Linked DNA regions of Astyanax mexicanus. The protein of the gene in region 1 purifies or fractionates together with the protein of each later gene. This does not show direct contact. Links are inferred from orthologs where the notes say so. Each region holds a gene or a part of one and is shown on either strand. Other genes may lie near its edges. The genes, in order: mapk4; FAST kinase domain-containing protein 5, mitochondrial.

Region 1 (13,115 bases):
CCACATCGAGTATTAGGCATGGTGCCAATAAATAGGTTAATGTATATCTATTCTATAGAGGTCCTATTCTTTTGGAAGTATATCTCTACAAACACTAGACAAGCTCTGTATGTGTGTGCATTGAATGCCAGCTGTAAGTATGTATTAGAAGAGGTGTCCACAAATATTTGGACATATATTCTACTGTACGTCAGCCTGGAAATGTTCAAGTGTAGATAAAACTCAGGGCGTGGACCTCAGCACTTATCTGTCTAGTGGTGGCATTTTCAAGTGATATTGCCCATGAAAATATCTGAAAGGGGTTCCCCAGCAACAAAAGGCCTTTAAACCAGCCAAGTCGGTTAATCAAGAGTGCAGGTCGATTCATTAGAGAGCTGGTTCTGAGAATACAATCAGTGATTACAGGACTGTACCTCATTAAGAGTACTTTTAGAGTCTATTAGAACAGTGTTTTTTTTGTTGTTGTTGTTTTTTTTTACTTGTGGTCTGCATCGGTTCTGCCAATGGTCTGTTAGTGAAAAATGTAATTTGTTTCTTGTTTTAATGGGCAGATTACATGTGGGATTCCCCTCCTGTCCTACAAAGGTGTGGTATTTAAGGTGGGGGACATGTTCTGGACAGAGTCCAAATACGCCTGGGGTATTTAGATATGTCAGTTCCCCTTTATTTTCACGTCCTATTCATTTCTGGAATAAAAGGTTGTGTTTTACGATTTCTGACACCTGTATTTTGTACACTCTACTATATATGGAGTTTAAATTAGTTGAAATATATTTTAGGCTAAACAATCATTTATCTTAAAACTATATTTAAGGTATTTGGCAGTGTGTGTTTATACAGATTTAACCTTCAGGCTAATGTTGCTCTTGGAGGCATTTCATTCTGTAGTCGTCTTTTTACAGGCAACGTTGTTTCAACGTCATATGTTCAATCTTTAATAAACCATAGCTCAAAAAAATGAGAAAATCCTATGATTAACAAAGTGTTAACAATAAACTCACATCCCTGTACTACGTTAAAATTCAACGTTAGCACAACCATTGAACATAAAATGTTGATTCAATGTTAAAATTCAACATTAGCACTACTGTTAAACATTAAATGTTGATTCAATGTTGTTAACAGACATTACTTTAGTCATATTTCAACCACATTTCAACGTTTAAGGTCGGTTGTGTGCCAGCAGGGTTAAAGCTCATCTAGACCCCTTGTGCAGTGTACCACCCAGATGGGGCCTTCACTGACATCCATATGTGGGATGCATGGAACTATATGTGCGTGTTCTCTAGGTGAAAACAAATCTGCAACTTCTACAGCAGAGCATTTGATTCCAAACTACTTAAAATTACCCTTTTGTTCTATTTTTAATATTTAGAAAACCTGTTATTAGAGGGATGGCCAGCAGGGGGCACACGTATGCACTGAAGTGGTTCATATATTCCAAATCAGTGGAAAAAAAACAACTATAATCAACTTATTTTTTTTTTTGTTTTGTTTTTGCATTTTGGGTAAACGTTACACTGTCACTGTTACTGTAAATTTTTCAGCTGTATACATACAAGAAAGTCTATGAATAATATTACTAAGCATTATGCACATTATGTTGTAAAAATTACATTCTAAAGATTAATTAATACAGTAGACCACAAACACTATACACTATACTCTTACAGAATGCACATTTGAATAATGAAAATACCTTTACAGTGTGAAATATCTACAGTATTCACAGTGTTTTTTGTTGCATGTGTAATCAAAGTAAATAATAATCTTTAGGATTTTGTATACTTTACTGTGATGATCTGGGGTTGATGCTGCAGTTGGTCAGGTCTAGGTTCAGCAACAGTATGTGCTGAAAGAATGAGGTCAGCTGACTATCTAAATATACTGAACATAGACTAGGTTATTCCATCAATGGATTTTGGAATTCTTCCCTGATGGCACGGCCATATTCCAAGATGAAAATGTCAGGATCCATGGGGCTGGAATTGTAAAAGGGTGATTCAGGAAGCATGAGATCATCATTTTCTTTACAAATGGATTGAGAGAGTTCACCACAGAATCCAGACCTTTTTCAGACCTGAAAATTTTTGGGATGTGCTGGATGGAGAAGCGCTGCTTTGTGCAGTGGTCAGACTCTACCATCATCAATGCTGCTGCAAGATCTTGGTGAAAAATTAATGCAACACTGGATTGAAGTAAATCTTGAGACATTGCAGAAGCTTATCGAAACAATGCCACAGTGAATGTGTGCTGCAATCAATGCTAAAGGCAGTTCAACCAAATATTAGAGTGTATGACCTTGTTTTTTAGGTGGCAACTTTTTTTTTTTGGGCCAAGCAGTGTATAACTTTGGTTTGTCACCTCTTTCTGCTTCAGTGTGAAACAGCACTGTAGTAAATACAATTAATAAGTTAAAACCCCAATTCCCTCAAGTCCTTTCCTGAAAAAGTGTTTTAGAGATTACCTTAACCGTTCTATTTATACTAACAATCTGATCCTTATCACAACGTCTTTGATTGGCACATGAGGTCCATCCATATCCTGCTTTAGGATCCCTTGCAGTTGCAGATGCAGTTTGCCCTCTATCTGTGAAAGCAGGAAAAATATATATGTAATTGATTCTTCAGTGAAAGAAGACAGCCCCTATCTTGTTACTTCCCACACTGGCAAACTGTGTATAGATTCCCTGTCAGATTTTAACGCAGTTCCTTTAAAAGTGGAAAAGTCTATCCCCACAGGTCACTCCCACAGAGAGCTGACTCAGGTGTTTGGAGAGAGGAAATTCAGACCGGCTCCTCATTTATTTATTTCTCCTTGGCGACCCACTGATTCTGCTGCGCAGTAACCTGACCCCCTGTGATGATGAGGCACTGGGAGGCAAGCCAAACACTCTGCCTCTCAAGCTGGACTGTCCAAGGACTCTGCATCCTTGCATCAGAGCACAGATGAGACTAAACTTGATGCTCTTGTTTCTCCACCCTTTTCCACTTTTGACAAAAATGGGTTATCAATTAAAATCAAATATCAGACCAGTTGTGGGCAATTCTTTTTTTAAAGGGGCCACATGATGGTACAGATCCCTCCCTCAGATAATGCATGATGCTCAACCAGCAGATTGAATTGGTGGATCTTCTACCGATCTAGTGGTTGAAGCTCTGGTGAGTGTTGACGAGTGAGGGGTGCTGCCAGGGTGATTCTACTCGGGTTTTCTTATTGTGACATCCCAATAAGGGAGCCATCCAAACGGCTCATAGAAGCAAATGATTCCTGACAATCAATGATTCCTGATACAATCTCAAAGTAGCTCTACACTACATTGGTCAAATTCTAAGGCCCTGATATTTAAAACAAGGCACTGAGAACTTTGAAAGTGCACAAGTAGTTTATTAAAACATTGTTTATACACACAGTGCCTTCAGGTAGTTCTCCAGGTGCCATCTTGAAGTTAAGTCTTGATAAATTGATTGAAAAGCATTTTTTTCCAATCTTCTTTTTCATTTCTGCCCCATCAGAATCTGAACTCCAGGAAAAAAGAAATATATACATTTTACAATTTGATTTGAATGAAACCATTAAACTATTGAACCAAGAAACTAGTTTCATTTTTTTGTTTTCAAATTTCTTCTTTTTTATTTCAGTCCCATCAGGATCATAATTCCAGGGTAATATACATTTTTAGACTTTTGCATTTTTTTCCTCTTGTAAAAAAGTAGGTTGGATTATATCAGATTTTTTTTTTTTACAAAATTCAAAAACTGTAAAACCTGAAAACTGAATAGAAATCTTTTTTGTGTTTTATGTATATCTAACGGTGAGGAACAGAAATTAAAAATTTGATCATTGGACGAATAATTGAAAACCCAAAATCTTCTTTAATACATAAAATCTGGCATCATCATGAAAACCTGGTTATATATATATATATATATATATATATATATATATATATATATATATATATTAGACATGAAAAAGAAAAAAATAGCTTTTTCTTTCTTCTTTTTCATGTCTACCCCAACAGGATACATTTTAATACATTGTCAGACTTTTCCAATTTTTCCTTTTATAAAATAGTAGGTTGGATTATACCATCAGATTTTATTACAAAATGTGAAAAAAAATGTGTTAAATCAGAAAACTGAATAGAAACGTTTTTTTCATGTATATCTGATCGTGAAAAACAGAAATGAAAAAAACTTGCACATTGGAAAATAATTGAAAACCTAATTTTTTCTGTAATATATAAAATGTAAAACATTAACTATTGAAATTTTACGCCCAATTTTGTATTTAAACGTTAGACTGACCTCTTTTCCACTGTATCTATATCTCATGTCTGTGTTTTAGACAGTGTTTGAAGTCTCAGGAGAGCTCCTCACTGTCAGAAACAGAGGCTTCGTATGCAAATTAGCGCCAGGGGCCGGCAGCCAATCAGGGGCGCGTCTGGGGCGCAGTTCTGGCAGTGCGCGGCCGCGATTGGCTGCTGCTTGGCCCGGTGTGGAGCTGTGGAGCTGCTGGGCTGCTAGGCTCCGCTCTGTGTAGAGATAGGGGGAGTGCTTGGGGGGCTTTTGTTCTTCAGTGAGTGGGGCAAAAAAGAAGAGGGCAGGTGTGGAAATAGGTGCTAGCGAGATATCAAGAAGAGTTGAGGGGCAAAAGGCGTTACGTTTTTATTGGGTTGGGTTTTATTGGTGAGTTTTGTGGAAGAGAGAAAGTACAGAGAATACAGAGGAGGAGGAGAAAAGGAGAGGGGGAACAAAAGTCTGGAGGGAGAAACAATAAAGGAGAAGAGGCTGATCTGCTGCTGCTGCTGCTGCTGTTCTCCTCCGCCTCCTCCAGTCTGATCACACACAGCCAGGCCAGCAGATCTGATCTGACCCGCTGATCTGATGCAGATCTGATGAATGATGAAGCCGCGCTGATACGGAGCTTCACTGCCACTAAAGGAGGCAAACAAATGAAAGAAGATCAGCGGAAGAGATGTGGAGCTAAACCTGCAGATCTCCCCCATCAGCAGCGCGTGAAGGAGCAGAGGAGAAGCCCCCCAGACTACACGGTAAGCCGGAGCATCGCCCCCCTTTGTAGCTAGCTGTACTTTCCGATGGAGCGATAGATATACAGCTATAGCTCGGAGCAGCAGCAGCAGGAGGAGGATAGCAGGATTTTAATCTCAGTTAAGCTCCTTTCTTCACTTCGTTCTCACTCCTCTAAGCGTGAAACCCGGTGGTCTTAATCTCATACAGTAGTGGGCTCAGTTTAAGGGGGCACACAGGCTCTACAAGGCACCATCAGCCACACACGAAGGACCTAGGATTATAATTAATATTGAAAAAGATTTGTGCACAGCACAACAGTTCAGCCATTCAGTCAGTGTAGCCTACTACTTTATTATAATTCCAGAAGAAATTAAAGAAAAAAAATGCAGGGGGAAATAATAAGACAAAGCAAAATGCAAATACTAACACAAAAAGCTTTTAGACGAGGGCATCAAATAACATGTACAAAGAATTTATAATAAATACAGTATCTTCCCAAAGTCTAATAAATCTCTGGCTGTAGAATGGACAGTGCTAAAAGCAGAACCCTGACCAATCACAAAGCTAACAAATATTAGCCCCGCCCTCTCTCACTTCTAACCTGAGCAACCCTAACCAGCCAGCTGGTGAGCAAACTAGCAAACTGTCTCTGAATGATAAATGGCTTGTTTTAATGATGTTTCACTTTTTTATTTCATAATATATAAATATGCATTAATTTATCAAAAAGGATTCATATTTATATAACAGGTCTTTTGTTTTCACAGCATTTCAATTTTATACCAACATATATAACAATATATTAATCAAATTTGTTTCTGAATTAACACATTGTTACAAACAATAAGTAAAGTTAATCTTTACTTTAAAGTATTTCTATACATTTTATATAGTTTTATGTAATATATTTTGCCATGTCTGCAGTGTTACCGGGTTAATTTGAATAATTATCTGAAGGGGTTAAAAAATGATACTTTTCGATAATTTAGAGCAAGCTAGTCGACCAGCAAGACCAAAAAAGTAAATGCATCATACACTAATCTGATCAAAAGCTGGTTAATGAGCGATCACAAAGGGTAACAAACATAGCTCCACCCACTCTTTGAGCCTGAGCAACCCTAACCATTCAGCTGGTTAGCTAACTAGCAAGCTTTCCAAATTTTTTCTAAGGGCGGATGTGGTCCCGGTGCGCCTTCTCCAAGGGTAAGTTTGGAAAAGTGTAAAAGCTGCTTTGTAGCAGCTAAAATCAGTGGTCTGGGGCTTGCTTCAAGTGGCTGTGCCAGGTTATAAGCTAAATGGATAATAACCGTCTCCTAATCGAATGGTCACTGGTTAAGAGGAGCTTCATGGTGGAATGTCATACACGCCTAAAGCGCCTTTCTTTGCCGCTCAAGTATATTTATCTAATATACTAAATATAATAAAATAATAATAAAAGTCAACCTCCAGCTAAAGCATTTATTAAACTACTCACAGAAAACGTATAGGATTATGTATTCAATCCACGATTCGGAAAAAAGTTCTCGTGTGTGAAAACAAACCAGCGATAATGAGCTCCTCTCCAAACAATCCTAGAATCAATTCTGGGAGCAGACTTATTTGTTCGGGTAAAGTGTGAAATGCGCTATTGTGTTATGTGTATGTTGCCATGGCAGTATAAACAAACTTTTGTTTACCAGTGATAGACAGCTGTCAGTCACGCATGTTCATTAGAACATAATAACCACACCTACTGAGTTATCAGGGAGGTCTGATAAGTGCAATTTGTCGATATTTGAGTGTTGAGTATTTTCTAAAAGTCACAAAATGTACAGCTTTTATCAAAAAGCACCACATGATGCAGCTCTTAAGTTACACTGAGCTGTTTTCACTCAGTACTCCAATTACACTCAGCTAACAAGTTGTTGTTTTTATTCCTTTAAAATGAATTCTGTTAAATCCGTTTTAAAATCAGGATTGTGTGTGAACACAGCAATAAGAACAGCTCCCCTATCCAGGAGATCAGATCAGATGAGCTGTAAGGCTGCTATCAGTGAGTCTGAGTGCTGTGTGCAGTGCTGGGTGCTGTTTCTGCAGTGTTGGTAGGTCCATGGCTGAACTGCAGCAGCAGCAGCTCAGCTAGTCAGCGCCATAGCACTATGCATTATTTATAAAGTTGGGCTGAAAGGCTGAAGGGAATGCAGGCAGGGCTGTGTTGGCGCTTCGCACAGACACTTCGCTCGCGCTGGGATGCCTAATTTGGAAGCCCATTGCCGCCAGGTACAAAATAAAGCATGCCCTCTCCCCCCCCTCCTCCTCTGTTCTCCTCTGTGTCTCTGTTTCTGACCGCTAACAGACTGTCTGAATGATAAATGGCTTGTTTTAATGATGTTTCACTTTTTTATTCTCAAAAAGGGTTAATATTTATATAACAGGCCTTTTGTGTTCGCAGCGTAGATGTTTCAATTTCATATAAACACTGTGTAGCAATGCATTTATCAAATACATATTCTGAATTAACACATTACTACAAATAGTAAGTAAAGTTAATCTTCTCTTTAAAAGTACTTTCTGTTCATTTGATACAGTTTTTAATGTGTTTTGCCATGTTGTGCCTAATTAAGTTGAATAATTATTTGAAGGGGTTAAATAACACTTTTTGATCATTTGAAGCAAGCTAGTCCACAAGCATGACCGAAAAAATTAAATGCATCATACATTTTGCTGATCAAAAACTGGTTAATCAGGTTGCTAACCAGCCCAAGGTATGTTTTCACCTGGATTACCAAATTTTTCAGCCATCTTGACTATCAAAACCAGCTACAAGCAAAAGCTTTTTAAAATTCAGTTCTTATGTTTGAGACACAATTCAATTTGTTTACGTTTTTGATGTAATAAGTAAATGTAAATGTTTTTTTCTAAAGCCAATTATTAAAGAGACAAAGAAAAAAAAGGTTAGAAAGGAAGTCTTTGTTTGAGACAAGTGGTGTTTCTTAATACCAATAATATAATATCTATCTATCTATCTATCTATCTATCTATCTATCTATCTATCTATCTATCTATCTATCTATCTATCTATCTATCTATCTATCTATCTATCTTTTGAGATAGTGTGTTATACAGAACAGTATAAACAATCTTTGTTTGTATCAAATTAAGTACATTTTGACAAATGTACTACCCATTTCTTCCCTGATTTCTTAAAGCAGAGCGAGGAGAAACTAAAAGCTTAATTATTGTGGGTCTGAACAGCATCTTTTGCCACTGTGTCTGTATGAGTCTGGTATATACAAGTGGATCAGACTCAGCAGTGATGCTGGAGTTTTTAAACACTGTGTTCTTTCAGACACTTCTACCTAGCAGCGACAGCGCCACCATTGAAACAAAAGCTCATCTGTTGCTGCACAGTATGTATGCAAAAGTATGCGTAAGTATAAGTATGCATAGAAAAAAAGGACTCCAGAAGTCACCAACTGATGCATCCTCGTTTTTTGGGGTGAAGCACAAATTGGGCAACCGGAAACAATTGGCAGATTGTATTGTAATGCAAAGAAAAAAACACACAAGACTGCATATTGAGACATGGCGTAAAAGTCTAAAGAAATCAATGGCTGTCTGAAACGTGAAGTATCTAGCTAAATAATGGCAGTGTGGACAGTTTACAGCTAGACATGAACGTTTAGCTGTGTATTATTATCTAATGATATTTTAACTCAGTACAATAGAAGGTTAGATGACTAGCCTTATTAGATTAGATTAGTTAGATTAATAACTTCGATTCAGACATGACTGGGTTTCTTCCCGTCTCAGAATACTGTCTGAGTAAGCAGCATTTCTTACATTTCAGACACTATTTAGCCATTGTTTTAAATATGAAGTCAAATTGTGGAGAAAAAAAATCTTAACAAAGATGGCCATTATGTCAAGTGTGTCTCAAAGTGTGTCTCAAACTCAGTTGGTTTGTAGCACCTGACAACTGACAGGTTCTGGCTTCTGAGAATAGCACAGCTGTCTGTGCAGAGCTGTGTATTGGCAAGAACATGGCAAAACTATATGTATCACATTACAGGACATACGATTTAATGTATTGGGATATATTACACTACTTTGTACAAGATGGCTCAACAGGCTGGTGAGGAAAGCTGGTTCTGTGCTGGGATTAAAGTTGGAGTCCTTTAACACCACTGGCAGATAGGAAAGCCCTCAGCAAGCTGCTGAACATCATGGACAATGTTAACCACCCTCTGCACAGCACCATCACCAGGCAAAGGAGCTCATTCAGCGGCAGACTGTTGTCCCAGTCCTACTCCATGGACAGACTGAGGAGGTCTTTTGTCCCTCAGGCCATAAGACTGTTCATCTATCTATCTGACATGCTGATTTTTAAATCACATTTTATGAAAACACAGAGTAAGAGTTAGGGTAATAAAAAACACACCATACACAGAATGCATCAAATCTGATTAAAAGAAATTTGACTTATTATCAAGTGAGAACAGTGTGATCTGAAGACACTGCTGTCTAAAATTCTGAACCACTGTCTGACACCAATCCAATTACAATCATTAGAGTATTTTTGAGAATTTATAGAATATTGCAAAATGTAGTACTTTGATATTTGAAATGTTCTATCCCTAATAAGCAGCAAGTAATCAAGGCATACTATTTTGAAGAAACTGACTATAGAAGGCAATTCCTGACAGATAGAGAAGAACAGAATTGCCAGTTTTTTCCTCTCCACCTGTTGGGAATTCGCAAAGTGGAAATCTGAAGTGCACACAGGCTAATGCCTTTCAACAGTGAAGATCTGCTTACATAACAGCATTTTGGCTGAAGGCTTAACACTCGTAGATTGCAATCTTGTCATTGAAGATGAGTTGCTTTGGCCAGGGTGCCCCAGAGACACTTATCAGGGGGCCTTTCATAAAAGTGAATCATAGGGCGGCTCGTTCGCTAACTGTATTTCTAAGATAACGTCAGATTAACGAAACATTAGGTACAGTATATGTGCCAATTGATGTAACAACAAGTGGTATGATGTCATGATTATCTTTACTGTAAACATACCTACTCTATATATATTACTGATTAGTCTCTAATGGTCTTTCTCTCTATTTTCTGTCTCTCTCTTAGGAAAGGAATGCATGCCAATGCTCACAGATAGCTGCATACGGAGCATGGAGGTGAAAGGCCAGCTCAGACACAGAGACGGCAAGTAGAGGCTCTTAGATTACACCCTGATTACATCAGGTTTATCCCCTGATCAGTTCAGTGCCAGCAGCCCAGCATCAAGGAGGCAGCAAGTGCAGTGCAAGGCTATTATAGTGCAAACAGTAGGGGGGAAATGTTATATGGACATAAAATGTGATGTGTGATCACGCTGTTGGATATCTGAATATCAATGTGAATAATTATACTAAATAAGGGATTTTTTTCCAATATTGAACATACTACAAATTTAGTGTTTTTTTTTTGCTGAATATATTTTGCTGTGGTGGATTATCACTGCAAAATGATTGTTGCCACTGCTTCAGAATTGTATCCAATTCTGCAGAAAGCTTTCAATTTTATTGAAACAGTGGATGCAGAAGACAAGGTAAGGTATTTCATATGTGTCTCAAAGTCAAAGTCAAAGTGTTTTTTATTGTCATTTCAGCTATATACAGAGTACACAGTGAAACGAAACAACGTTCCTCCAGGGACCATGGTGCACATAAACACAGTGTATACAGAACAATAGTGCAACAGTACAAAAGTGCAGACAGACAATACAACACAATACAGAAAAAGAATAATAAATAACAAGACAGTGTGCAAATTATGCAGTGTGCAAAAAAGACCAGTGAGGTAGTAATTACCTCTATTACACAGTGTGCAATAGAGTCCAGTGAGGTAGTAGGGTTTTTAGTGCTTTCCATTTTCTGGGGTAAGTGGGGTAAGAGTGTGTGTGCATGTACAGAAAAACCATCAGTTCAGTCTCTGCAGTTGAGGAGTCTGATGGCTTGGGGGTAGAAGCTGTTGCAGAATCTGGTCGTGCTGGACCGGATGCTGCGGGATGCTTCCCGAAGGCAGGAGGGAGAACAGTTTGTGTGAGGGATGGGTGGGGTCATTCACAATGCTAGTTGCTTTGCAAATGCTGCGGGTGGTGTAGATGTCCTTGATGGAGGGGAGAGAGACGCCAATGATCCTCTCAGCTGTCCTCACAATACACTGGAGGGTCTTGCGGTCAGAGACGGTGCAGGTCCCAAACCAGGCAGTGATGCAGCTGCTCAGGATGCTCTCAATGGTCCCTCTATAGAAGAGTGTGAGGATGGGTGGAGGGAGACGGGCCTTTCTCAGCTTCCGAAGGAAGTAGAGACGCTGCTGGGCTTTCTTGGCTGTAGAGCTGGTGTTCAGGGTCCAGGTGAGGTTATCTGCTAAGTGGACACCAAGGAACTTGGTGCTCTTAACAATCTCCACAGAGGACCCGTCGATGTTGAGTGGAGAGTGGGTGTGTTGTGCTCTCCTGAAGTCAACAACCATTTCCTTTGTCTTGTCCACATTCAGGTGAAGGTTGTTGACTGTACACCAGTCTGTCAGCCGCTGCACCTCCTCTCTGTATGCTGACTCGTCGCCTTTGGTGATGAGACCCAGCACGGTTGTATCATCGGTGAACTTGATAAAGCTGTTAGAACTGTGTGAACAGCAGAGGACTCAGGACACTGCCCTGGGGGGCCCCAGTGTTCAGTGTGATGGTGCTGGAGGTGCTGCCCCCGAACCGGACTGACTGGGGTCTCCCCGTCAGAAAGTCCAGGATCCAGTTGCAGAGGGGGGTGTTGAGGCCGAGCGAGCTTAGCTTCCTGGTGAGGTTCTGTGGGATGATGGTGTTGAATGCTGAACTGAAGTCTATAAACAGCATTCTGACGTAAGTGTCCTTCTTCTCCAGGTGGGTGAGGGAGAGATGAAGGGTGGTGGTGATGGCATCGTCCGTGGAGCGAAAGAAAAAGAAATAGATATATACACAAAATAAATATGAAAGGATTCACGTTTTATATGGAAAAAAACTCTCTGGTCACTAGTTTTGACAATTATCATTGCATTAGTGGGCTGGGTCTGAGCATCTGAGGGTCTGTAGTTTATGTAGTTTATGCCCATATTTGGTGTTTCATGTCTAAGCTGATTTTCTCAATGGGCAGAATGAAATAGTTTTTTTTTATTGCCTCCATCGCAGTCTGTGGTAAATAAATTTGTTCAAAACCCTATACGTTTTATTTTGTGTACATTTTTCTCCTGACCATTACTGGATCTTCTAAAAAATGAAATTGTTTAAAAGTAATAATAAAAATGTAAGTAACACAGGCTACACTGCTCAACCTGACCAGACTGAAAGTGGAATACTTTAATACTTTAAATACTTTAATGGTCATCAGTGAGGAAGATGTATAATCAAAATTTTGATACGACAAGACCTCAACAGCTGGTGTTATGCCTCAGATAGCCTACTCGCCTTCTGTGTTAGATTGTGTGAATGTTAGCATGTTGCTAACAGTCGATATGCTAATAGCCGCAATGCTAACAACAGCCCTCCTATTTGGCTCTGTTTGTGCACCATAGTGCAGTTGGATTTGTTGTTTTCTAAGGCTTAGGTCTATTGTTAGATGTATTTATCATGAAACTCAAATCACATAAATCTGAGCAAGAGGTAGTAGATAGACCTTCGGAAAAACCTTTGGAGTTTTTACAGCCCAAGATTTTTAGATTCCATGGTTGTTTCCTACGGTGTTCCATGCTCTGACTGGCTGTGGGATATATGTTGCTATGGAAAGACTTTTCCTGCACAGGGCCACTGTTCCAGCGTTCCACCCAGCGCTGGGCCCTCTTCACTTTGATAGGCGGCACATATGAGGAGCGCTCTGTAATTTAAGGGGCTTCAATCCTAGAGGAAATTTCAATCCAGCAGGCACATTAAAGATGACTGTAATCATCATCCATTTTGGTTTCACGCTGTAATCTCCTTAGAACTACTTCAAACATCTCCACACGTGCTGTTTTAGAGCAATTTCATGCGTAACGGTTCAGTACATTTTCATATAGTTCTCCATATCAAAGGCTGGTGTT
Region 2 (13,115 bases), on another chromosome or scaffold:
ATCAGATGACTTCCATATCTATTAGTGGATTTTTGTTACATGGTCTGTCTTAAGGCACACTGAAGCTATTCTTTGTTATATAATAGAAGACATTATCACAGATTACGTTGACCTGCATTGTAAGGTGAGGGGAACAAACAGCATTTTCCAAGGCTTAGAGTCAGACAGTCAAGAGTGTCAGTATCAGTACAATATTTTGTTATTTAAAAGCTATATTTAAATAACACTCAATCATAGCAAGTACACCAACTGGCCAGCTAAAATTTACCCAGGTAGATGGGTAAGGCTGGTTCATATAGTCAATGATGGTTTGAACAGTGTTGCTTATATCTTTAATTTATGTGGTAACTGTGTAAATTTCCATTCTAAAGATAAATTCTTCTTCTTTTACAATAGAAATAATATGGATTGTTGTGGCCCTTTAAAACTAACTTGTTCACTCACTGTGTCCACCTATCCCTCCCTCTCTTGCTCTTCTCTTGCTCTTTGCAGGTGTCTGTGCTGAGAGACAAGCTGAGCGCCTTCGAGACGGAAGTTGCCGGGCTGAAGAAAGCTCTGAGCGAGCTCAGCCATACAGCTAATGCTCGGGCGCCTGAGCACAGCCTGGCTGAAATGGGTCAGCTGGTGCTGTCGCGGAGTCGGGAGCGCCTCCTCTCCCCTCTGAGCCCCCCAGAGACCCCCACTGCCTCTCTCCCTGCCCTTCCTGCTCTACCAGGCCTCCCTGCTCTGCCTCCTCTCCCTGCTCCCGCCTCACTGCCAGGGGCAGACCCACTGCTCAGCCTGCAAAGCGACGACTCCAAAGCGCAGCGACAGGAGGCTGGGGACCTGCGGCGGCAGCTGGAGCTCCTTCAGGGCGAGTTGCGCCTGGAACGGCAGCAGCGTGAGCGGCAAGCCCTCAGCTTCGCCCAGGAGCGCCAGACGTGGCAGGGCGAGAAAGATCGCGTGCTCAAGTACCAGGCCCAGCTGCAGCTCAGCTATGTGGAGATGCTGCAGAAGAACCAGGCACTGGAGGAGCGTGTGGACCAGCTTGGTTCACAGCTGGTCACTCCCACCTTGGCCTTGCCTCCCTCTCCGGCTTCTCCACCGCCGCCGCCACACCCACAGCCACCAAGTCTGGAAGCCCAGACGCCAGTGTCTGTGGCTATTTCGCTCACTTCCCCGACTCCGCCGGCAGAGGAGAAGAAGCTCCATCAGCTGGCACCTCCATGGCCCGTCCCGACTCGCCTGGAGAGGATTGAGTCGACAGAGATTTGATCTTCAATCTGGAGTTGACGGCGAATGTGACCTCTTTGATGCAGTAAAAGAAACAAGAATCCCACTTAGGGCACCGATTACAATAGCGAATACAGTTATACAGTTGTACAAAAGTACGAATAAGTACAAACTCCCCTGAAACATAATATAATAATAAAAAGGTCATGTCAACAGCTTCTGAGGACAGTCCAAGGATGCCCTGCTGAGTGAGGCAGAGGTCAGGGTTGAGGGGTGAAGATAGTTCATTATAAACAGTAAATAGTATGTTCGTGTGGCCTTATTGACTGACCCATAGGAAGAAAAGCTCTGTATCTTGATTTTTGTAAAGCTGGTTGGGCGATAAAAGAAAGAGCTGGCCCTGAGTCTGTAGCCAAGGGGAAGTGAGGAGTACCTGGATTTAACACTCAGGGGATAAGGGATCAGGCATTAATAATAATCCATATTTACGGCTAGACTGTTGGAGCTTTTTAGCCACGTTGCCCTCTTAGCTGGAGAGCGGCTACCTGATGCCATTCAGTACACAAATTGCGATGAAAAAGAAAAAAACTGACATTTTCTTGGTTAGACCCAAGAAATAAATATCCAATTTTTATCTCAACACACATCAAACCAAGCTTAAAAACAGCTCAAAACTGTGGGTGCTGTGTAATTATCACACTACTCTGAAAACCCACAAAAACACAACAAACAGTAGAAACAGGACAGAACATCTGAATTATATACCTGAATAGACTTTCGTTTGTTTAATTTTTACTCTAATGAGAAGCTGAAGCTATGGGGAAACTTGATGCTCACTTATTTAAAGTGCTTGTCCATACCATCGTTTCTTTTAGTGAATAGAAGCAGGACCAAAAATGATATTTATAAAATGGTGCCGGTCTCGGGTTCCCTTGCAGTGGATTGTTGTAGTTGCAGTCATTATTGGGACACCAGTGGACACCAAGGCATGGTGTGTGATTTGCGTAAGAGCGTGCCTCAACCCTCCTGCTGTTATTAGCCAAAGCAGTGGCGGAGGACTTACCACATGGACGTTTGACTCAGAACGTCCTGACCAGAACATTGTTTTCTGCCTTTTTTTTTTTTGTTCCATGTTTCCAAAATGACGTAGAATATATTAAAAAGAGAGAAGAGAGAAGTATTACAGAAAAAATACAAACAAACAAACAAAAAACACAAAAAAACTAATATGTTAATGCACTTTGCTTTGGTCTCAGACAATGTTTCTTTTTAGAGAGAGAGGTTGTTTGTAAGTTGTTAATGAACAGCATCTGCTTACAGATGTTTGGTTTATGAAGCTGCTAGTTAGTGGGAGAAAGCGGAGTCAGCGGCTGAGCCAAAAAAAAAAAAAAGAAATGAAAAAACGCTAAGAGGGCAATCGGAATAGTTTGCGGAGAGGAACACGCTTCTAAAGCACCTTTCCTTTGCAGTTAATTAATTAGTTATATTGTTATATTTGAGCAGGACCTTACATTCTTCCAAAAAAAGAAGAAAAAAAAAAAAAAAGAAGAGAGAATATGTGTCAATGTATACTTTCTGAAAGTATCACTTTAGAATATTTGACTTTCAAAAGAAAATATAATTATGCAGTAGATTTGAAGTGATGTTTTGAAGTAAGTACACCGTGTACGCAGGCTGTGTCGCCATATCTGAATGGGTTCTAGAGGCTGAAGCGCCTGAAGTCGTGTTGGTTGGTCAGTGAGGGGGATTAGGTAGTGCGATTGTGTAGTGTGGGTTAAGGTTGATGAAAAAATGTGAAAGGTTTAGATAAATTTATGACAGGTGGTGATACAAAGACAGACTGAAAAGTGGTAGCATTGAAAAAGACAAATAAACAACAAAAAAACAATAACACCTTTTGTCACAAAGCTTACAGTAGTATCAAAAGCCCTACAATATGACAATTGTGGGTTTGACTGATTATTGTACTGTACAGGCAGGTGTATAGAAGGCCTAATATCTTAAGTCTCGTGTTGACTGGTCAGAAATATGATGGGAGTTCACTAGAGGTGCTTTAGTAACCCTTAGAAGTCAAGTTACCCCAGTATTTTGCTGTGCTATTCAGTACAAATTGGCTAAGTTCAGAATAAGACTGATGACGATTTGCCATTATTATCATTTATATTTATATAGTGTTCTTTTCAAATAAACCAAATTAGAAAGCCAGTGTCGACCAGTTAATCAATCAATCAATCAATAGATCTGTCAGCCTTTATTTAAGGTTTTACATTAAGGGTAATCCCTACAATGTAGCCAAGCTGATACAAAAAAGCTAGTAAAATAAATCAAATAAAATAATTTATAGGATATGATAGTAGTTATGTAGAATCTTCTAAAAGCAGATTTTCATAATTCAGTAAAAGTTAAAATGTGACAAATGTTTACAATCTGCACTTTCAAAAGAATTATCCAGTTTCTATGAAATAAGTTTATTAAGAAATTCATATAAATAAACAGAGTGTTTTTAATGACGATATCTGCGACTTCTAAGGGTCAACTCAATGCTTGGAACGTGTACCACATACAGACATCAGCAGAGAAAGACCTGATTTTACCTCATTATGCCAATGAGATCATCTACAAATTAATTTTTTGGGTCTTTCACTGCTAAAAAGGAGTATATATGTGTAGATAATGGGACATTTTAGGTTGTTACAGGACCCTACAACTGTACATGCACCTCAATTTCTAATAACTGCTGCGATAACCTCCAAACTGAGGGGTTTAACTGCTGTAATCCCATACACTCCATTTATTCTTACCTGTGCCATCACGACCGGTGTCGTGAGACGTTTTGAGATTACTGAACTGAGATTATCCGAATTTATCCGATCCTTTGATCCTTTATTTTTTTGTAGCTTTATGACATTGGGTGTTAAGTGAGGCATAACCTACAAAGCTTTAGATGGACACCACCCCTCTACTGTCTTTGGCCACATTTGCTGCTATGTAATTCTGTTGTGTCCTGCTGTGTTCTTAGTAGAGACAAAGGGGCAGTTGATTGCATGTAAATATCATTGTTATTTATGTGTACATATCTATTCTATCCAAATATACCAAGCTATTGCGTGTGAATACTTTTGTGAATTAATGAGACTGACATGTCAGCTTTTATTTTTCAAACTTATCGATATAGGAATATAATATAATATATAAATCTTTTAAAAAATTTAAATCGGCCATTACATGTTACAATCAAGATAAATACATGAGAGCCCTTCAGTGTCTTCTATCCCCCTCTGTCTCACAGTTCTTGAATTATACGAAGGGAGGACAAACTGTCACCAATGTTTTCATTCTGATTTTTTATGCTTCGAAATCGCTTGGGGAAAAAAGCATATCTTAGCAAATATGAATTCAAATAATAAAGATGTGAATAAAAATAAATCAACTGTGAATGTTTTTTTTTCAGTACTGTCTTCCTTAAGGGTGAAACAGGGGCCTGGGGTTGCGGGTTCAAGCCCTGCGAGAAGTTTGATGGGTGCATGTGGGTTTTTTTTCTGTGTACTTCTAAAAATACACATGAATACATGTGAATTGGCCATGCTAAAGTGAGTAAATGGTTGTGTGTAATGAAATGGTGCTCAGTTCAGAAAGTACCTTAGGAGTAGGCTCTGGACCCACTGAGACACTGGCCAGAAAGAAGCGGACAAGAAGATGAATAGATGGATTATTATTAATATCATCACTGAGAGATTACCTAGATATGGTGTGTTAATAATCAATGCCATCCAAAGCTACACTTTTAATTCACATCACCTAATTCAACAAAAAATAATATGAAAGATTGTGATGGAGTGGAACGTGTTAAGGTTAAATATTTTTCAAAATGTCATGCATCATTTTCTGCAGATCCACCTTATCAGAACAGCCCTACTCAACTCCACAAACTCTCTGAAGGTGTTCTGTGGTTTCTGGCCCCAAAACTTTAGCAGCAGATTCTTTAAGTCCTGTAAGTTGGGGGGTGGGGTCTACATGGATCACATCAATGGGCCTAGGCCCGTGACCCGGTCGCTGGGACAGTGGTTGTCCTGCCACAGAAGAACACAAAGGACCTGCTTTAATGTTCTGACCAAGTCATCTGGCCATCACTGTCTGATTATACTTACAGTATAATTACTATACTAAAATACTGCTTAAGATACACACTCATACTTACACAGGTACCAGTAGAACCAGATAATTAATGTTATTCCCTTTATAGTCTTAATATTATGGCTGATTGGTCTACTTAGTTTTTGGGGTTGACCTACTTGATGGATCAGATATACAGTACAGGCCAAAAGTTTGGACACACCTTCTCATTTAATGCATTTTCTCTATTTTCATGACTATTTACATTGTAGATTCTCACTGAAGGCATCAAAACTATGAATGAACACATGTGGAGTTTTATGTACTTAACAAAAAATGACCTGGTCTCCACAGTTACCAGACCTGAACCCAATCCAGATGTTTTTTTGCGTTATTAGGTCATTTAATTACATTTTTTACTTAGTATTAATGTGAGGAGAGGATAACAGTACAGAAAGCATCTTACCACAAATGCAATGATTACTTTAATTACTTATGCTTTAAAAGATCAATTCAACTGCTGGTAAATTGTAATTTTATCCTACATGTATAATCATGTGTAATATCTGATTACATTGTTTAGAATATGTTACCTATTTTTAGGCTGATCATTTGTAATGTCCCAATTATATTGTTTGGAATTTGATCATTTTCAAAAGCTTATATCACATTATTACATTTTCAAATGATAATTTGTAGTACTTTATTACATAATTGGTAATATGTTTATAATAGATTATTACGCAATTCGGAATTAAATTTTTAGTACCGGTAGCTTTTATCAGCTTATTATGAGTTAAGTGCAACATTTTGTTGTATTTGTTTTTCTTTTTTTTACATGTAACATATTAAACTCTTCCATTTTCTTTGGGGTCAATTTAAATCGGTGTCAAATAATTTTTTATATAATAAATAATAAATAAATTGTATTATTATAAAAAAACTGTATTATAAATCATCAATTACATTTTTCAAATTGATCATCTATAATACAGAATAACATAATTATAATTATAATGTCCTGTACACATGGATCGTCCGTGCCACCTTAAATATATTACAGCAATACGCACACCGCTGCATTCTTAAGGTGGACGGGAGAGTTCGGTTAAAACGCTGGTCAATAGGAAGCGCAGTTATGCGGAAGTGACTTTGCTTTGTTTGTCCTTTCTCGGCCACCGTAGTACGCGTGATCTGACACTTAGCTCTGTATATGGAGGCTCACACACGCTGTCCGGCGCAGGTTGACCTCAGTCAGTGATTAAACTGGATAAAACTCAGCGCTCTGTGGTTCAGTGTAAGTTCTGAAGGGTTTATGATATTTATATATATTTAGTGGACGAGAGGAGGAGTATGAGGCAGGTAACAGCCAGCTTAGTGCAGCAAAATGAAAGAAGACAGTGTCTGACTCTGATAACTAGTTAGCTAGCTAAAGATGCATATGTATGTAATCCAATTTAAACAGCCTGTAATTAAACATGATGTATAAGTGAGGATGTTCTGTTTCACTAAATATGTTAAACACTAACAGACTAAAGTCATATTGTTAGTGCAGCATGATATACTAGTGAATCTAAAAAAAATTTAAAATCATTGAAAAGTTACTTTATTTCAGGAATTCAATTAGCACTTGCAGTGTGGGTAGTGTGCCAAGTCCTGCTGGAAAATAAAATCTGCTTCTCCATAAAAGTTGTCAGTAGCAGAGGGAAGCATGAAGTGCTGTAAGATTTTTTGGGAAACTCTGCACTAACTTTGGACTTGATAATAAAACACAGTGGACCAACACCAGCAGATGACCTGACTCTCCAATTTGTGGAATCTTCACACTAGACCTCAAGCAGTTTGGACTGTGTGTCTCTCCACTCTTCCTCCAGAATCTGCTCCCTTGATTTACAAATGAAATGTAAAATTTACTGATGATCAGTGATGGTTTGAAAAGACATGTCATCTGCTGGTGTTGGTCAACTGTGTTATATTTAGTCCAAAGTCGGTGCAGTTTTGTTTACAGCACTTCATGCTTCTCTCTGCTGACAACTTTTATGGAGTGTAAGATTTCATTTTCCAGCAGGACTTGGCACATTGCCCTCGCTGCCAAAGCTACGTATATAACGTTTATACTTTTTGGAGACACTGATTGTTGAGTTTTGATTGGCAGTAATACAATCAACTGTAATGTGTAATACATGTAATACACTTTAAACTGAATTACTAAAATGAAGTAACTTTTCAATTAAATTCTAATAAAAAAATACTAGTAACATCTAAACATCAGCCCAATGTTTTTATTTTTTATGTTTATTGTCATGATATGACTTGTGACCTTGTTTTGCTTAATAATAATTAAAATAATATGTATATATAGCTATAAATAAATATTACATCATGTTTTAATAATGGTGATATGACACATTTCCTTGGTATGTATGGTATATATTGATATAGCCTTAATAATACATGAAAAAAAAAAACATTATGGTTCAGATTTAAGACTAATCTTGTTCTTCATCTTTTTTCAGTATATCCTGTGGATGTTTGCAAGGGCGCTGTCACGCCATGTGTCAGCACTGTGGCTGTACACCCACCACCCATGCAGGGTTGTGTATAAAGCACAGCATCTCTGCTCACATTGGGAAAATGGAAAAGAAGAGAAGGAGGAAGAAACAGAGACAGTCCAACAGCCACCAGCCGCAAAGAGGAACACCCTGGTATACAACCCCTCTGCGTACTACAAAAGGAGTACACAGCGTTCTGCTCTTTCAGACAGTTCACAGATGGAGGAGGAAGCCCCTTCTCAACCTGTTCCAAAGGCATCGATCAGGAGGAATCCTGTCCGCTCCACACAGCACATCAAGAATCGAAGACTTGACTTGGCTTTCAGTAAGAAAGAATTTCACCCATTAGACACCCCAGCTGATGTTAAAGGAGACCCACGAGCCTTTCATAGATGCAGGCCCGAGTACCGCAACATATCTCATGATCTATCCCGGCGTCCGCCTGCAATCCACTTCCAAGATGCTTTATTACTGCTTCATAAAGTCAATTCAGCTAAAGGAGACATTGAACCCTCAGATGTAGCTCATTGCCTTAGTCAACTGGGCTGCCTTGCCCCCAAACAAGCTCAGGTAATCCGAGGAGATAATGAGTTTAACATGCTTTTAGGATACAGTGCGGAATGCCTGCCAAACTTCACCAACCTGCAACTGCTGGAGGTCCTGCAGGCATTTGTGAGACTGGACTTGTCCTACTCCAACAAAATTCTAGGTTTGTACGAGGCTGAGTTTGGGCAGCGGGCTGGTAAAATGGACCTTCATCAGTTGCTGCTCATCGCTGACCTGTGGCGGTGTCTTGGCCGGTCCGTTCCGCATTATCTTGAGAGCCTGTATGACTGTATTTGCCAGCATTTCAGTGAAATGGGTCCTCCAGAGTTGGTTCAGTTCATTTACATACTGGGAGAAGGCAGAAAATGTCCTGCTCATCTTATTCAGCCCCTTCAGTCCCATCTCATGCGTCATTTACACAAGCTGGAGGCTGAAGAAGTAGCTGCTGTCTGCTTAGGGCTGTTCAAATCTAAAGCTTCCCTTTCAGAGCATGTGGTGCGTAGCATCGTGGACCATGCTTGTACCCTGGTTAAGGAAATGAGTAACTTCGGCTTAGTTAATGTTCTAAAACTCTTGCGTTTCAGCCACCTGGACCACCTGCCCTGGTTAGAAGCAATGGGGTCTGTGGTACCACAGCGTGCACCACAGATGAACGCCCCAGGCTTGATGCATGTTGTTTTGGCCTGCTCTGCTCTGCATTACCGCGATGACCGTATTCTCCTGGCAGTGGCAGAACATCTGCCTCCTTTGGCCTCCGACTGCAGAAGCAAAGATGCTGCCAAGGCATTGTGGGCCTTTGGAAATCTGGCTATCCTTCCCAAGCAGTGTCCAAGCTTATACCCTTGCATCACTGATATCCTACGCAAACGAAAGGCTGAATTCCAGTTATTTCCCGAGCATCTCCTTACAGCTTTGTTAGGTTTGGCTTTTGTAGGTCAGTATCCTAATGATCTACTAAGTTTAGCTTTAAGCCCCGAGTTCATAAGCCTAGCCTCGAGCCGAGCCCACCTGCAACTGGGAAAGGACTTTTTCACTTTAGATGGTACGGTAGGAATTGAGTTGCCTGGCTGGACCGGGCCACGATTGAGCCAGGCGTTTAGGGAAGAAGTAACAAAACAGCTATGGGACTTTGCCAAATTTGATATATGTCAGAAGCCGGAAGTTATAGAGGCCGAGGAGGTGCTACAGGGGCTGCTTGGAGGAGAAGCTTTTGTTCGCAAGGGAATGATCTTACCTCACATGCGCTCTATTGACCTTGAGGTGCACTTGGATGCTAATGAACAACCTTTACCTGTAATATCTGAGCCCACAGTTCATTGCACATCTACTCCAAATAAGGAATCAAACCCTTGGGAAGGACCCATTGGAGTAAATCTGACAGATGACTTGCTGGCCCAGCTCACTAGTGCCAAAAAGATCCCAGTGCAGACACCACAGCAGTTCATCCAGCCTCCAGCCCTGAGGCCGGTTGAGCCACAGAGGGAGAGAGAAGTCCTCTTCGGTGTTGGAATTGACTTAACTGATTGCCTCCTTGATGCTATGACGAAACGTAGAATTTCTTCTTCTCCTGCCCCCGACCAGGTCAATTCCAAACAATCTGTACTTCGCCTTGCGGTTCAGGTGACCAACAGGAATCACTATTGTTACAGGACACAACAGTTGCTTGGGCTCCATGCAATGAAGAGAAGACAGTTAGAACTGGCTGGTTATAGAGTGGTGGAGCTGCCTTACTGGGAATGGTTTCCGTTACTCCGGTGTTCGAAGGCTGAAAAACGTGCCTACCTGCATTGCAAGATTTTCAATACTTATGACTCAACACAAAGGTCATGACCTCGTGTTTGCTGCTTAGTCAGCAGTCAAAAAGAGATGATGGATGACTTCACATGTATCAGAGGAGGCATGTCCTCGCACCCTCCCCATGTCAAAAGCATTCCAAATGATGTGAGGGAGTCCTAGAAAGCGGGTCGGTTCTTTGGCTTAGCTAAACTGCAGACATAATTTGGTAAAATTAATGGCTAAGTTGCCAGGTTTTATGTCATACAGTCTTGCAACACTCATTAAAATAGCATCACCACAGTAAACATGTAAAAATGGTCAGAAAAATAATACACAAATAATTTACCAACAACCAAACAATGCATTGATTTTGAATATCACAACTGAAGTCTAAATTCATTTCTTGTGTAAAATATTAATTAATGTTGTTTAAGAGAATCTCTTGAAGAATATTGTGCTAATATTTAAAATAACGTGTAAAACATTGTTATAAAATGATGATAAACTTACTATGATATCGGACATTTTTGATATGCCTTTATAGGCCACCAGATGTTCTTCAAGAAAAATGGCAACATGTAAAGATGTAAATTAAAGGATGCCCATGATATTGTGTTAGCTTCTCTCATTTCTTTTTAAAATCAGTGTGTAAAAGTCTTTGCAGATTGTTGTTTGACAAATATTAATGATGATATGGATGTTATACAATCTCATGCCAAATGTCGTAGGACGAGAACTAGTATAGTATTTCATAACTTTTGCCATGTCCTATGAAAGCCTAAAAAATGCTTCACTGACCTTTGTGAAATGCGTCTGGGGCCTTATTCAATAAATATGGATGTGATTATTGCCATTTGCTTCTCTGTTTGTGAGGGCAGATTTAGACAGACACTGCTGGTCTCGATTATTACCCACTACTGCAAGCCTACTGTGGATGAATGTTAAATGCCTGAACACTTTGGGAAATGGAATGTCCCTTCCATTGGGTAACTACTGTCAGTCTTCGCTCGAACTCCCATAATTCATGTCACCTGTCATGAGCCACTATTCAGGTTCATTCTCAAGAATCTCAGGTTTGGGTGTTGCAAAGCCTAAGGCAACCATTTACGTACTGCTATCTCATGACTTTTGGAATATTAGTGCATGTAATATAGACATTACACTGGTTTTGTTTAGACTAGTGGTTCTGGAGTCTGTCCACTTGGGAAACAAAGCACAGTACAGTATACATTTTCACCTGTTGCCTGTGGAGGGTAGTAATATCCCATGACTGGCTTCAAAAACACTGACTATTCTTCTGTGTTTTTATAAGTCTTTATAAGTCCTCTTCCCCTATTCCCGCACTTCTGTTCTTTCATTCCTTTAAATTCTTTGCTCATAATCTGGCCATCAGGTGAATGTGCCATCATAGCATGGCACATGCCTAATACAGTATAAGAACTCTAAAAATAAAGTTTAAAGATTAACTCACATATTTTATAGGGAAAAAGTTTTAGGGCTCATGCTCATTCATTGTTTTTTCTAAAATCAAGGGTATTTAAACAGATTTGTCAGGATTTTGTTAGAGTAACTGTTTCTAATTTCCAGGAAAGAAGTTCAAGATTTTGGTTTATTGCTGTGCTAATTTGATTGCATTCAGTGAAGACTGCATTAGTAAGGTGCTGGATGATCACAGCCCCACCCCCAATACCTCAGGTTATATTTGGACATATATAGGACTACACAGCATTGTGAATTATTTTTGAATTTATTATTTTATGATCAAAGTCTTAGGCTTAGTTCTTATGTAGGGGACCAACCTATGGTGTATAATAATTTGTAATTTATAGTAAATATTATTCTCTGTTTTTTTTTTAATACACTGGCAGTCAAAATTGTTTGATTATTTTATATTTGCTGATGTCAAAAGGTCTATAATTGTTTTTTTGTATGTCCTCTTCTGATCTTGATGACTACTTTACACCACTTTGTCATATTTTCATAACAATTTCTTTTTTCTGTCTTTCTTTCAATCATTTGTTTATTTATTTTCAAAGAAAGGGGAAAAACAAACAAACAAAAAAAGAAAACATTACTTTGTCAAAATCAATTTATACACATGTATGCATACACACATATTCATATGCACACACAAAATAAATACTACTACCACTACTGTAAATAAATTATCAAAAGTAATAATAGCAATTATTATAATAGTAATATCAATACATTTTATTAAATACAATGAATACGTAAATAAACAAAGTAAAAATGATAAAGAAAAAATATATAAAACAAGTCCGAAAATAATTTTAAAAAAGCACTGTTGTAGTTTTTCTTTTTCACACATTCAACAACAAGAATCCAAATTCTTAATAGGATTTGCTGTTAATCTGATTGTTCCCTGCTGGAAAACAACAGCCTGGCCAGGTCAAGCTTCACCAGCCTGACATTCTTAGCTCTTGACCAGTATAGGGTTTGTTGTTTCATGAAGGTTTTTTTGCTGGTTGACCAGAAAGACCAAACATAAACAAGTGTGACCAAAATCAAATTCAGCATCTACTATGCTGTTCAAAGGCTGCTTAATCAGTTTTATGACAGCATAATAGTGATTCACATATGTGGGAGTTCTGGGAATACCCAGTATCATCCAGCCAATACTGATATACTGTCTTGTATATTGTCTAGTATTTCTTGTCACACGTATGTCTATATATGTGACCTTGTTGTATTTTACTACAATTATTACGTGTCTACCGCATTCTTATAATATAATTAATTATATTTAGTTGTACAATTATTACTTTTATTCTCACTTTTTTTTGCTGTAAATTTTTCCTGTACATATGCAGCATTGACAATAAAAATTATTGAACTTGAATACACATTTATACCTAACAAATGTAAAAACAGATAACATTTATTTACCTTACA

The links.
Region 2: the proteins of mapk4 (region 1) and FAST kinase domain-containing protein 5, mitochondrial purify together in Homo sapiens (affinity purification with mass spectrometry; 3 studies listed by BioGRID and IntAct, with this or other methods). This does not show direct contact. The link is inferred for Astyanax mexicanus from reciprocal best matches to the Homo sapiens genes MAPK4 and FASTKD5.

Annotation. Positions count from the first base shown.
Region 1 is NC_064419.1:38,522,248-38,535,362, forward strand, and holds the start of mapk4 (mitogen-activated protein kinase 4), read left to right. Parts: upstream 1-4,512; 5' UTR 4,513-5,056; intron 5,057-10,151; exon of another isoform or gene 10,152-10,229; intron 10,230-13,115. UniProt on the Homo sapiens protein: Atypical MAPK protein. Phosphorylates microtubule-associated protein 2 (MAP2) and MAPKAPK5.
Region 2 is NC_064408.1:8,563,090-8,576,204, forward strand, and holds FAST kinase domain-containing protein 5, mitochondrial, read left to right. Parts: upstream 1-6,518; 5' UTR 6,519-6,622; intron 6,623-7,841; 5' UTR 7,842-7,853; coding exon 7,854-10,253; 3' UTR 10,254-11,052; downstream 11,053-13,115. Other genes in the region: leucine zipper putative tumor suppressor 3, read left to right, coding at 493-1,254. UniProt on the Homo sapiens protein: Plays an important role in the processing of non-canonical mitochondrial mRNA precursors.